2 linked regions of the Notamacropus eugenii genome follow. The protein of the gene in region 2 purifies or fractionates together with the protein of the main gene of each other region. This does not show direct contact. Links are inferred from orthologs where the notes say so. Each region holds a gene or a part of one and is shown on either strand. Other genes may lie near its edges.

Region 1 (7,290 bases), on a different chromosome or scaffold from region 2:
CCTCGGGCCCCCGGCCCAGCCCCCCGCCCTCGGGAGCCCCGCGGGGGAGGGGGGCGCCCGGGCGGCCGCGGCCTCGGAGTAAGGGAGCTCTCTCCCCGCCCCCCCTTCCCTTCCAGTGAAGAAGGACGAGGAGGGCTTTGAGATCTCCGTCCCGTTCAACGAGGCCCCCCCTGCGGAGTCACCCCCCATCTTCTGCGGCCTGGAGGGTGAGCCTGCGGGCCGGGGGCGGGGCCGGGGGGGCGGGGGGCGCGGCCTCGCTCACGGCTCGCCCCTCCCCTCAGAGCCCCCGGAGCCCGCGTCGCCCACCCTGGCGCTGATGAGCAGCGTGAAGACCCAGCTGCACATGGCCCTGGAGAGGAACTCTTGGCTGCAGAAGAGGATCGAGGATCTGGAGGAGGAGCGGGACTTCCTGCGCTGTCAGCTGGACAAGTTCATCTCCTGCGCCCGCATGGACGCAGGTAGGGCCGGGCCCAGGTGGGGGGGCCCGCAGGTGGGGGCTGGGCGGGGGGGGGGCCCCACAGGCCCACCTGCCGTGCCCTCCCGTGCCCTCCTTGTCCTCTCTCCCATCTCCAGAGGACCACTGTCGGGGCAAGCCTGGCCCCCGGAGGGCAGAGGGCTCTGGGGAGGCCTCAGACCCCGAGTCAGCAGCCTCCTCCCTCAGCGCTGGCTCCGAAGAGGGGGGTTCTGCTGAAAGGAAGCGCCAGAAACAGAAGGGGGCGGCTGGCCGAAGGAGATTCGGGAAGCCCAAGGCCCGGGAGAGGCAGAGGGGTGAGTGTCAGGTACCCCCGGGTGTGGGGGGGTTGCTAGGGATACGGACAGAGGAAGGATGCTGGACTAGCAGATTGGGTGCATGTGTCCGTCCTCTGTGAGATCCTTAGCACCTGGCTGCCCAGCCCTCAGCCTCCTGTCTTTTCTGACTCCTAGGCAACTAGTTGGCACAGGGAATAGTGTGGGACCTAGAGTTAGGAAGACCTGAGTTCAGATACAGCCTCAGAAGTGTATGATCTTGGTCAAGTCACTTTATCTCTGTTTGCTTCAGTTTCCTCAACTGTAAAATGGGAATAACAGGGTTGTGAAGCTGAAAAAAGATACCCCCTAGGGGGCAGGACCCTGGCATGTGGCCAACCTGGTACCTGTGCCCTCAGAGACCCTCCCCTGTGAATTGTGAGGGATCCCAGAATAGGGCAGTCTGCTCTGCTCCCCACACAGGCAGCCAGGTTTGCATTGGCAAGGGGGCTGCCAAGTCCGTGGGATTCTCCTGAACCTCCTCGTGCTCCCAGGCTCTGCTTAGCCATAAGCCTTAGAGGCTCCATATTTGGGAGTCAGGATGCTTGGGTTCAGTTCTGATGCCATCCCTGATTCATATCAGAGGCTAGAGACTAGGGTTCAAATCCCACCTCAGATACTTAGGAATGAGAGGATCAGCTCTCTCATCTGTCAAATTGGGACAAAAATGCCTCAGAACTTTGTAGCTTCTCATGCCAGGCAGGAGAGGCAGGACAGGGTGGTGAAGAGTGCCATGCCATCCTCTCAAAGGCCCAGGGAAGAGAGCAGTAAGCAAGCAATTTGCACCAGGGGAGGGAGGTGTTCTGTACGGGACATCACAGTTCTGGTTGTTTAGGCCACTCCCACCTTCCCATTTCCAGGGGGACAACACTGAAGGCCAGGCAGTAGCCCTGGGATCTGAAGCCAAGCCATTCCCCTGGGGTGTCACCAAGCAGGGGTGGGTGGTTGGACTCGGTCCCCATGTCTCTGGGGCTCTCACTGGCTCAGCCTTTCCCTGGCCCACAGTGAAGGATGCTGATGGGGTGCTGTGCCGCTACAAGAAGATCCTGGGCACCTTTCAGAAGCTCAAGAGCATGTCCAGGGCCTTTGAGCACCACCGGGTGGACCGGAACACGGTGGCCTTGACCACGCCTATTGCTGAGCTGCTCATCGTGGCGCCGGAGAAGCTGGCCGAGGTGGGCGAGTTTGATCCGTCCAAAGAGCGGCTGCTGGAATACTCCCGCCGCTGCTTCCTGGCACTGGACGACGAGACACTGAAGAAAGTACAGGCTCTCAAGAAAAGCAAGCTGCTGCTGCCCATCACGTACCGCTTCAAGCGGTGATCCCCACGCCTGTCCTGCCCCAGCTTCTCCCCAAGCCAGCTGCTGTCACCGCCTTCTCTCCCTCCCACCCTGCATCAGTCTTGTGTTCTCGGGCCTGGATGGCCGAGCCAGCTGGAGCCATCGCCTACCCCAGCATGGATCCCCCTAGACTGGCTGTCTGCTGTCTTCTCTTCGGATGCTGGCTGCTTCAAGTGGCCCCTCCTATGTCCGACTACTCGACTCTCCTCTGCTTCTTCCAGGAGCAGCTCTTTCCAAGCGACAATCCTGTTCCCTGGGCTCTTGAGGGGGCCTCCAGAGGTAGTGGTTGGCTTGCATCCTGTGCTCTAATGGGCCTCCTGGCTACCTTTTCTCGCCAGGGGACCCCTTATGTCCCACAATGGTTCTCCTATTGATGTCTGAGCCAAGTGATGTGTCATTTACAACTAGTCCCCCTTAACGGCGACCCTCCAGGAGCCCCACAAAGGCTCAGCTCTTGGGTGGGATCCTGCCCTTGCCCTTTTCCTAGCCTTCCGCAGCACCCCTGCAGCCGGTGGGTGCATGCACGTGAGTGATGTGTTTACATGTGGTTCCAGGTGGAGGTGGGTGGGCTCCCTGTCTCATCTGCTGCTACCCTCTCATGGAGTTTGTGTGGAGACAGGAAGGCAGTGTATGTATGTATATATTTACCGAACATCTCCCCCTTCTGCCTTCCGTGGTGTCAGCATCTGTTTCCCACCCCCATTGCCCTGGCCTGGCTTCCTTTATTCCTTGCCCCAAACCTAGAGACTTGGGAGTCTCTGCAGACTGTCCAAGTGGCCGGGCATCACTGCCTCTGGAGAGAGGTCAGAGGAGCCCTTGAAAGAACCTGGCTTCTCGCTCCACTCTGGGTGTGACTCCCTTCCCTCCCCTTCTCCAGGCCTGTTTCCTTCTCTGTAAAATAAGGGAGTTCAGTGCGATCCTATCCAAGGTGGCTGTGAGGCCCTGGGTAAGTCTGGGTCTCTTCCTTCTCGTGAACGCGGAGCAGATGGGACGAGGAGCCCCCACGAGGTCGCAGTCTGTGACGATGGGGCCTGGACTCTGCGGAGGCTGACCGATCCTTCCCTCCCCGGCGGCCGCTGGGCAACGGAGCCTGGGAGCGCCCCCTCCCTTGAGTACCAGCCGCCGGCCCTGGACCAACAGATAAATGAAGTATTCAGAGTTAAAATTAAAAGTTAACCAGCAGATTTGGAATAACCTTGGCCTCGGTTCTGGCTGTGGGGGAGAGGGGGTGGCGAAGTGGACCGAGCCGAGAGACGGCCGGGAGCTCCCTTCCGGGGCGCTTGCCCGTCCCGAGGCTATGGCGCAGGCGCGACTCTGCTTAGGCTGCCGTTTCTAAGGCGACCGCCAAGGGAAGGAGAACGCGCTAACAGTCTTACGGGTACGGGGCCAGTCGGCTTTGGAGGGCTCAAGTGCGCGTGCGTGCTGGCCAGAGAGGGCGGAGACGAGCAAGGGGTAGCCTCGATCCTCTTTTCCCATTGGTTGGCCCCGCTTTGCACTTGCGCAGTAGCCCGGCTCCCCGTCCATTCGCTCCGGCGCAGCCGTAGCTTAGGTTCGGGTCGGCCTCGCGGGGCGGCCCGCACAGGCGCACAAAAGCCCCGCCCCCAGCTAGGCTCCACGGCGGCGCGGCGTTCCGCGGCCTACCAGTCGGCGCCCTCGGTTCCTCTCGCGAGCCGCGCCCCAAGCCGGAAGAAGTCGAAACGCAGGGAGCCGGGAGGCGGGAGTCGGAGGTGCGCCTCCGGAAAAAGCCGAAGTCGGGCCCGAGTGCCTCCGGAAAGAACCGAAAGCCGGAAGGGGCCGTGCGTTCGCCGGGGCCAGCAGGGGAACACGACGGCTCCGGCCGCGTTCGACCTCTAGGGCAAACTCGAGGCCACCCCGACAGGGTCTGTGCGGCCTCGCGGGCCGGGACAGGAGGGGGTGCCTCCCGACCAGAACTCGGGAGCCGCTGAGGCAGAGACCGCGCGGTCTGTTGGGGCCGGGTGAAGCGGGGCGGGGGCCGGAAACAGCCGAAGCGTTCCGGAAAAAGCCGAAGGGACTCAGGCCCCTCCTCGAGCGAGTAGGAGGCGGGGCCGGGGGCGGAGCCTGCGCGGGGGCCGGAAGCGGGCGAGGCGGGCGCCGGAAGTGGGCGAGGCGGCGCCGAGGGCAGGCGAGGCAGGCCAGGCCGGGCCAGGCGGGGGGGACGGGACGGGGGAGAAGGCGCGAGCGCGGGCTGCGGCCGGCCGCCCCTCAGCATGTCCGACTTTGACGAGTTCGAGCGGCAGCTCAACGAGAACAAGCAAGGTGAGTCCCAGCCTCGGCCGGCCTACCGGCCTCCGGCGCTCCCTTCCTTCCCTCGCTCCGGTCCCTTCTCCCCTCAGCCCGCGCGGCTGCCTCCCCCTCCCCCTCTCGGTCCGGCGCTACACGTGACCCGCGCGCGCCTCCCGCCGCGCCATGTGACCGCGCATCGCACGTGACCGCCTCGCGCGCGCCCGCCTCGGGCCCACGCGGCTCGGGGGGCCTTGACCGAGACCGGAGACTTTGGTCAGTGCCGGGACCAGCTAGGGTGGCCCCCCCCCAACCCCGACCGGTCCCCCTCCCGCTCCCTCCTCGCTCCGTGCTGCCCACTTCCGCTTCCGGTGGCGGCCCGTTCCTCCTCCACGCCCCCTTTGTTCCCAAAATGGCCGCGGCGGGGGCTTTCCCCCCCACGTGGAGGAGTTGGACGTGGACTGGTCCGGGATCGACCCCCGTGACTCCCGCCGGCCCAGAGCCCTCGCTGGCGTTCCGTCTCCCTTTCCCACCCCTGCACCTCCTTTTCCACTCTCGGGGCAGGGGGCGCTTCGAGACCTCTTGGGGCTTCCGGCCGGCCAAGGTCCCTGGTCACCGACCTTGCGGCTCCCCGGGGCCTCGGCGGGGGCCGGGCCAAGTGTCCTTCCCTGCTACTGGAGGGGGGCATCCCGAGCTTGGAAGGCCCTGTGGGCCCCCGGGGAACGCGTGGGAAGGGTCAAATTCATTATCCGACTTTGTCCCGACCCCTTCCCCGAGGGCCCCGTCGGGGCCTGGGACCATTTACGGTCTGGCCCTCAGCCCCTAAACACGTGGACTTGGCAGCCTGTGTGAGTGAGGAGCGGCGGCTGCCCGTGCCCGCCTTCCCCTTCTTGTGCCGAGCTTTGTTTTGGTTCCGACCGGCCCTTTCTTGACCCTCAGGGGCTCCTTTCTCCTGTTGGTCTTCTTCTTCAGGGCGTTCTCTGTTTCCGGCAATCAGAAGGGGTTTATCCTTGCCCTCTTCATCTGAGGCCTTCACCCAGTATCCCTCACCTCAGGCTGTCTCTAGAGGGCCTTTTCCTTCTTCCTCCAGATGTCCCTGAAATGGTCCCCATGTTTACCCTCTCCCTGAAGCAGGTTAAAGTCAGGGTCTCTCCTTCCAAAACTTCACTTCTAGTGGAACACCTTTGCCCTTCTCCGCTGCACGTACTCTTTCTAAATGAACTCCTTCTCAAGTTTGAACAAGTCCAAAGTTCTTTCAGTCGCAGAGATGAGAAAACTAGGGCCTAAGGAACCAAAGGGATTTGTCCAAAGTAGTCCAAGGGGCAGTCATGGGGCAGAATGGGGAAATGGAACCAAATATTCTGATCCAAGTCTCCCCAACAGACTCCTTAAGAAAATCCTCCTGTTGAGCAGGGTGTGGAAGTATCCCAAACTTCTCTGTAGTTTTGGAACCCTACTGACCCAGTTCTCTGAGACTGGAATCTGGAAAGGATAGGACCGCTTCCTCCCCTTTTTTTTCTGCCCCAATTCACAGGTTTCTTCTGCTGGACCTCACATCTCCTTTGCTGCCACAACTTAGTGGTTCTGTTTCTTTGCCCCCAACATTACCTGCTTCTAGCAAATCAAGGCATACTCCTCCAATCATGTTTTAGAGAGGGGAAAATCTGCTGTCTAGAGAATCCAAGGTTATACAGCAAATCCAGGTTGGAGCTGGAACCTCAGTTCACTTGCCCCATTCAGAAGGAAATCTATTTACAAGGAGGAAAGGTCCAGGTTGGAGCCCTGGTTCTGCTGCTAACTAACTGTGTGACCTTGGGCAAGTGAGAATTTCTTTCTGAGCTTTACTTCTCTTCCTTTTCATAAGGGAGATGGACTAGATGATATCTGGTGTCCTTTTCAAGTTTGACAGGAACCTTCTACACACGTCAGATTCATCCTCCTGGAAGAGAGAGGTAGATAAGGACTTTGCCAAGGTCACCCAACTAAGTGGGCCCAAGCTTGAACCCAGGGCTCCTGTCTTTCAGCCTATTATCCTTAGTGATCTGGAATCAGTGTCAGAACCAGAAATGGTGCTTAACCATTGTGGCACCCTGATTTCAGAGGATGTGAATCCTAGCCCTTTGGGGCCTGGGGTTGTTTGCAGTAGTTGTCTTACCTCAGATCAGTTCAGTGATCTCCTCTCCCTAGTTGAGCTTGTGAAGCCAGGGTTCCCGCCTCCATGACTGAGCTCTCCATCTTTCTGGTGTACTGGGTTAGAGGTGGATGTATACCAGTGAATCCCCTCCAGAGAAGGGATGAGAATTAGAAGAACCTGGGTAAGAAATAATGATGTCTAGCCATCCATAAGGGCATAAGACTGAGTTTTGGATCCTTGTTTCTCCAGGCACAGGGGGAGGTGGGACTGGGCCCAGTTGGGATCCTGGATTCCTGAAGAGAAGAATTAGTTTGATTTGACAGTGGGCAGTCATCTCCTTGGGAAGAGGTAGACCCTACACTTTTGGATCTTGGTGGGATCTTTGAATGCTTCAGTAAGCATCTATGGGTGACTGTCTCCATGGCCCCCTCCTCACTTTAAACACAGAAGCATGTTTTGAACAGCTATAAGATGATTGAGAGCCTGAAGATGGAGTAGGGAATGAGAAAGGGTGCATATGATGGGGGGAATCTGCCATCTGCCCCACTGGCCAGGCTCTTACCAGCAGCCACAAATGTATCTTGGCACTATGAGCTCTTTCCTTGCCTGGTGAGAGCTCTTGCTCCGTGTATGCTTCTGGCCACATTTCTGCTTCCAGTTTCCTTCCCTGCCATGGACCATGTGGTACTTGGGTAGGGGAGGTACAGGGAGGATAGGAGTCCCCTGCCCTTGTGTATCTCCAGTGTGTTTTTGCTTCCGATCTCTTCCAGAATGGGGAAATGGGCCTAA
Region 2 (7,104 bases):
ACAAGTTCACAAGAGAACCAGGACTAGGACCTAGTTTTCCTGACTCTCAGATCTTTACACTACACTCTTAATTCCTGTTCTTAACTAAATTCAAAGAACTACCACACTTCCCCTATTACCATTAAGTACACATTAAGTTTTTCCAAGGTTCCCTTTGCTGACTTGCACATACCATCTGGCCTTGCACTGCTTTGCTGATTTCCTATGCAACAGTGAAGCAATCCGAGACCACTGGTTCTTTCCATATTTCATTACCGCTGCTTTGAGAATTTCATCCTAAGAAAATGAACAAGAAAAAGATTTAACAAACAAAAATTATTTTTCACCAGAAAGAATCAATCTAGCTTAGTTCTGATAAGGTTTCTGTAGTCTTCCAAGCAAGGTTAGGGAACACCCCTTCCTGTCCCCCTCCAAAAAGAGGATGGGAAATTGTGCAGCTGTAAGAGACCTTAAAAAGTTATGTGATTCAATGGTTTCACTCCATCAATGAAGAAACTGAGGCCAACGGAAGTAAGGTGATTCCCAAAGCAGCCTGGCTGACACCTGACAGATCTGGTACTAACTCATCTGACTCTTCCATTGAGTCCCTTTCCACTATACCATGACAGACAGAAAGCTGGACATGTAGTCCCAAAGGCTGTTTTGAATTCTACCACTGATATTCACTCCCTTAATATTGACAAGAAACTTGACTTCTCTACATTTCATTTTCTTCAATGGTAAAACAGGGATAACTAATATAGTACCCACCTCACAGAGGAGTAAATATATATGTAAACTACTGGGCAAACTTGAAAACATTATGTAAAGTTTACCTACTGCTATTATTACACTGGCTTAATATCTCTATAGGAGGCTTGGGCCTGGAAATTCATGGGTAAATCTAGGTCTATCTTCAAAGAGTGTTGACAGTACATTAATTGTCAAAAAATTGTCAAAATTGTCAAAAAACATTTAAATAAAGGAGGGTCACTGGTCCAAGGAGTGCCCCTCCAGGGCGCCCGCCCCCCCAGAGGGAGCCCCAGGAATCAATGCCTATGGAACTGTGCACATGTGACCAGAAGGGACATTGGAGGAAAGATTGTCCCCAAGGTTGGAAAAGTGGTGCAGCCTCCCCCAGTAACTAGTCTTCTCAAGACTTCGTGTTTTTGTCCTTCATTGTCGAAGAGGACCATGGCATCAGAGAAATGATGACATGACTTGCACTTGACTTTGTTTTGAGTGAGGGAGGGCTGTGCAGGTCACCAGCCTCACTTTTCCTCCAGAGCCATCTGAATCCAGTACCAGATATTCATCAGGATGACTGCAGATGGCCCAGGATGCAATGGGAGACCTTGGCCTTTTTAGGCTAGGCCTTTTCAGGTACTCACTTAGAAGGAGGTAACACCCATTGAGTTGAATAGGCCTCTTCCAGAAGTAATCAGGGAATGGCCCTTTTAATGAACCAATGAAAAAAATAAGTAAATCAAACTGGGAGGGAAAAAGAAACTGTTACTATTGATAATCACTCTAAGCCAGCCATTAAGCGGAGCTTGGGCAAGGACCTATAGTTGTCCAACTTCAGAGTGCACTGGGTTTAAGGTTTTGGGAAAAGAAAGGAAAGAAAGAAGGAAGATCACTGAAGAACTAAAAAAGTACAGAAAAAAGGACAAAGAACCTTCTCCAGAAGGTTCAGAGGTTAGATATAAAGGAACAAGACAGCTCTGAAACTAACAAACTGAATTTATTCTATTCTTTTAAAAACAAGCAATATTTTTATTTTTATACGTAATCTTTTTTCTATTTGTTGAATATGGAAGGTCACATTTATGGGTGTTTGTAAAGTTCAGAGTAACAAAAAATAGAAATTACTGAAGCATGAAAAAAGGGTATCATTTGGAAGGAGGATTAGATGTGTTCAGAGAACAGAATCCAGTACAATCAGTGGAAGTACAAGAAGCAGCTAGATGGCACAATACGTAGAATGCTGCACTTAGAGTCAGGAAGACCTAAATTCAAAACCTGCCTCACACGTTTAATATTCACGGGACCCTGTCTGCCTTAGTTTCTTCATCTGTTTGATGCGAATAATAACAGTACCTTCCTCCCAGAGGGGTGGTGAGGATCCCAGGAGATTTGTAAAGCACTTTGCAGACCCTATAACGGTGTATAAAGGCTAGCTATTATTGTATCATTATTATTATTTCTGAGTCGGCAGAAAACCAATTTTGATTTGGCCCAAGGAAAAACTCCCTAGAAACGAGACCCATCCGAAAGGACCACTCTTGATTCCGTAAACGGCTCCCTGGAGGAGGTGTGCCAACTGGGCTTTAGAGGATAAAGGGAAGTGCAGCATTCTGGGGCAGATAGGAACGGCATTCCAGCCCCGAGGGGCAGTAGGAGCCAAAGCACCGGGGGCGGGAGAATGGAGCGCTGCCCACCGGCCCAGCCTTGCCCGCATCACAGAGTGCGTGGAATGCATGAGAGAAGCCTGGAAAGGCAGGGGGTGGCGCCAAATTAAAGCGCAGGTGGAGGGCGAGGAAAAGCACCCGGGGGCCAGGTCCGCTCCAACTTTACGTACTCCAGGATTCTAACCCCCTACTCCCCGCCCCCATAACTGCTCTACCATCAGATGGCGCATGCGCACACACCACCGCAGGGGGCCAGGGAGAGTGACAGGAAGACGACGCTCACCTCCGTATTCCTCCATACGCCCCCCTTGATCATAATCCGAGGCATCTTGGCGGAAGGGTGAGTGATTCGGCAAATAGCCGAGACGATCGGGCGAACACTGAAATGGCGTAGCGGCCTCCGAACCCAAAGCCGACCCTTCTTCCCAGCACGACCTTCGGCTTCCGAATGCTGTGCGCAGGCGCAGAGAGAAGGTTAGTCACGCGAGATTACCGGGTCGCGGGGAGTAACCCAAACTAGATAGCTAGATTCCCGGTCAAAGCGCCCGGCCTCGCTTGTAGTGGCACGCATGCGCATAAAAAGCTGACAGCTGCGTCTTCGTTCCCGGGTCGATCTGCGGCTGCGTCGATGGTGGGAGGCGGGGATAGAGAGGAGTGGGAGCTCATAGCGCCACCTGAGGGTCGGAGGTGTGTCACACACGGGAACAGTTCTATGGCTGGTGGTTTTGCCTTGCGCGTGGACGGGTAACTCTAAATTCCTAAGTTAAAAGCTTTGGACGGGAACTAGGGAATTCGATTCCATTCCATTCCATAAGTATTTATTAGGCGTCTGTAATATGAATGACTGAACTAGGCTAGAAATTCAAAGACGGAAAGAAAAGAAAGGACACCATTCCTGCCCCCTAGGACCTTATATAGTCTCCTGGGGGAACAATACTAATAAGTAATTATCATAAAGCAGGTGTAGACGGCCAGGTGTGACTTAGGACCGTACACTGGGAGCTGGAAGGGACTTTAGACGTGATTCCCCCACGTGCCTCTCCCCCCCCCAGCCCCAACACCCCGTACTGAAGGATTCATTGCCTTTCCCAGTTGGCATGGGAGTGTGGGGAGTGGGAGGTGGGAGACGGCTATTTTCTGTTGCTTTAGGAGAGGTTAAGAATTTTTCTGCAAGGTGTTTTTCCCCCTGTTCTATTTTGTTCATATGCTTCAATTAACTGCTTTATTATTTTATTTTTTATGTTTTGCCTGGTCAGTGAGTGGAATCTCAGTCAACCAATACACATTTGTTGTTTCTAGAATACAGATATTTGTTCTTATGATTGTGTACTGTCATTATTTATCGTTATATGTGATTTATTTTTATAAATACTAGGATAGACTATTTAGTATTTATAAACTACAAAAAAGAGGCAAAAGGCAGTTTCCGCACCTGGAGCTCACCATCTACTAGAGACAACAAGGAAACAAATACGTACAAACAAGGTATATATAGGGAAAAGAGGAAATAATTAAAAATGGGAAGACATTAAAATTAGAGGAATTAGGAAAGGCTTTCTGTAAAAGATAAGAATCCACGCTGGATTGAGGTTGGAACCAAGTATATAATTCTCTTCACCTTGGCATAGCATAGGTGACCTTCAGGGTGACTTGGAGGAGAACTGACACAACTACAGAACGCTTAGCTTGAGATGGAACTGAGTTACGTCATACCACCAGCATCCATAAATACAACTGGTTGGCAGAAAACAGCCAAAAAAGAGGACAGATTTGTCAGCATTTCTCTACAAATCTATTTTCATCATCAGTGACAAAGGCACCGCTGAATTCCAACCCTAAGTCTTCAGTCCCAATACGCCACATGAAGAAGTTGAATGGCACTTCAAAAGAAAAGGCTAGGAATAGTAGCTGACCCAGATATGATACATCCGGAGTGCCATTCCCATTAGAAGAGAATGGGAAGAAATGCCTTTCACAACTACGGCTTAGTGAAAAAGTCTTAACCAAACAAGGGATAGAAATGATCATAAAACAGATCACTTAAATTACCTAAAATTTAAAAGCTTTTGCAGAAACAAAATTAATACAGCTGGAATAAGATGTGAAATTATCACGAAGATAAGGAGAAAAAAGGGACAAAGAATTAGAAATTGAGGCAATGCCCATCAATTGGGGAATGGCTGAACAAGCTGTGTTATGTGATTATGACAGAATAGTTGTATTATAAGAAATGATGAGCAGAATGCTCTCAAAATAACCTGGAAAGATTTGCATGAGCTGATGCAAAGTGGAATGTACTGTGTACAAAGTAACAGCAATATTGTAAGATGATCAGCTGTGAATGACTTAACTATTCTCCGCAATACAATGATCAACTCTGATACAATGATACAACTCTGAAGGACTTAACGATGAAAAATGTTATCCATCCCTGAAAAAAGAACTGATGGTTTCTGAACACAGGTTGAAGCATACCTTTTTACTTTATTTTTCTTGAGTGTTTTTGTCTATATTTTCTTTTACAGCATGACTATTATAGATATCTTTTGCATGACTACACCCGTATAACCTATATTGAACTGCTTGCCTTCTCATTGGGAGGTGTGGGTGGGGAGGAAGGGAGAGGATTTGGAACTCAAGTTTTAAAAATGAATATTTAAAATTGTTTTCACATGTAATTGGGAGAATATAAAAAGATTTTTTAAAAGACTTCCAGATTTTTAAAAAAAGAGGAAGAAAAAACTGCATCAAATATTTACAATAAAATTGTTAAACCCAAGATATGTAGGGAACAGACCCAAAATATGCTACCAAGATCCATTACCCAAGAGATGAGTGGGCAAAGGATATAAACAAAAGAAGAAATGCAAACTATCAAGAATTAGGTGAAAGAATGATCCAAGTAACTAATAATGAGAAATGCAAATTAAATAACTCTGAAACTTGCTCTATATCCCCTCAAAATTACAGTTACATAAGATGGGAATAGTTAATGTTGGAAGCAATGCAGGAGCACCATCACACTAATATAGCAACAACAATAACAACAAAGTCATGAAATTATTCCTACTTTTGCCCGAGGCAATTCCAACATGGTTGGGTCCCAAGGAGTTCAAAGACAGAAAGCAAGGTCCCACATATACCAAAATATTCTTGGCAACTCTTTGTGGTAGAAAAAAAATGAGAAACTAGAAAAAAGATGCCCATTGACTAAAGAAAAACTGAACTGGTTATGGCATATGAATGCAATGGAAAGCTATTGAACTGTAAGAAGATAGGAATATGAGGAATTCAGAAAAATGAGAAAACTTGTATGAGCTGATACAAAGTAGAGTGTAAGTATAAAGTAGTGAAGTAGGTAATTCTAGGGGAGGGTACAACTAATTGCCCTGATCCTCAGAAGCAGTAAGGAGGACCCAAGTACGTATTTGGTGTCAGTCATCCACTAGCTTCATCTTCTACCTTATACAAGTATCCCAAAGTTTTATTGTGCTTCGGAGATGCTGCGTTTTGTTTTTCAAATTGGAGATTTGTGGCAATCCTGTGTCAAGCAAGTCTGTCAATGCCATTTTTCCAGTAGCACGTAGCTCACATCATGTCTCTTTGTCACATTGTGGTAATTCTTGCAATATTCCAAACTTTTTCATTATTATTGTAGAATCATTATAATAACTCTGTGTTCTGTGAAAACCGTCTACAACTTCAGTGGGCCATGACCACCAGCATCAGCTTAAACTCTGTAGGGTTTTTTGCCTGAACCAAAAATCAATCCTCAACCCAGAATTTTAGAGTGAAAAATGTTAACAGCAATGGCTTATAATATTGGCCTGGCATACTTTGAACTAACCTAATAATAACAATTGTGAATCTAAACTGGTAGAGCTGCTTATATATTTCCTAATACTGTTAATATAAAATAAAGTGCATGCTTATGCTGTGAAATTTGCTAATATCAACATAGTTAGAAAAATTACTTCTCTTGCAATCTGGATACTGCTAGGTTGTTAGGTTATAAACCCAGTTGTTAAAGAGTTGTCCAAAAACTGCTATTTTTGTTCAGTGTGTTTTATTTCATTACAATTATAATAGGGGGCAGAGCCAAGATGGCAGAGTAAAAGCAAGATTATATTATAGTTTTAAAATATTTCTTCCTTGTTTTATCTGATAAGATATTTAAAACTTATTATTTGACACAGTTATAAGTTTTTTTTTCAGCCTTGCTGGTGATATGGTCTAAGTTCTATAATGTTTAAACCTGAGAGCTTCGAGATTCAGAGGTGGAAGGGCTAATTAGTTTCACACCTACCTCGAAGGGGAAAGTTTACAAATCAGCTGACATAAAGGACCTAAGTTCCACTTAAATTTATTTAGCTGTATTAAAGGTACATTTAAATTTAGTAACAAATTATCTTCTGGAATTATGGATATATCCACCAGGTGATTTTTAAAAGTGCCCTTCAGCCAGCATTAGCAGGCCTTTCATTATTAGGACAGAGAGGAAGGGTAACCTCAGGGATTTTAACCCAACCTTTTAACCCATCCCATAACTTACTGCTCTGCCTGAGATGACTGCTGCTACCAGGCCCCTTATCTTGGACAACTCCAGAATGTGATTACTGAGAGAATGGAATGCCTAATACTCCTTTACTAAGGTTACATTATAATAATAGTTTATGGGTGATTTATGATTATGAAATTTATGAAGTTATACTTG

What was found. Proteins that work in one complex are often made in the same cells at the same time.
Region 1: the proteins of CDC5L (region 2) and U2AF2 purify together in Homo sapiens (affinity purification with mass spectrometry; 5 studies listed by BioGRID and IntAct, with this or other methods). This does not show direct contact. The link is inferred for Notamacropus eugenii from reciprocal best matches to the Homo sapiens genes CDC5L and U2AF2.

Annotation. Positions count from the first base shown.
Region 1 is NC_092876.1:18,155,323-18,162,612, forward strand, and holds the start of U2AF2 (splicing factor U2AF 65 kDa subunit), read left to right. Parts: upstream 1-4,223; 5' UTR 4,224-4,354; coding exon 4,355-4,403; intron 4,404-7,290. Other genes in the region: CCDC106 (coiled-coil domain-containing protein 106), read left to right, coding at 117-206, 282-458, 574-768, 1,792-2,108. UniProt on the Homo sapiens protein: Plays a role in pre-mRNA splicing and 3'-end processing. By recruiting PRPF19 and the PRP19C/Prp19 complex/NTC/Nineteen complex to the RNA polymerase II C-terminal domain (CTD), and thereby pre-mRNA, may couple transcription to splicing.
Region 2 is NC_092873.1:107,878,636-107,885,739, reverse strand, and holds the start of CDC5L (cell division cycle 5-like protein), read right to left. Parts: upstream 3,007-7,104; 5' UTR 2,719-3,006; coding exon 2,674-2,718; intron 277-2,673; coding exon 173-276; intron 1-172.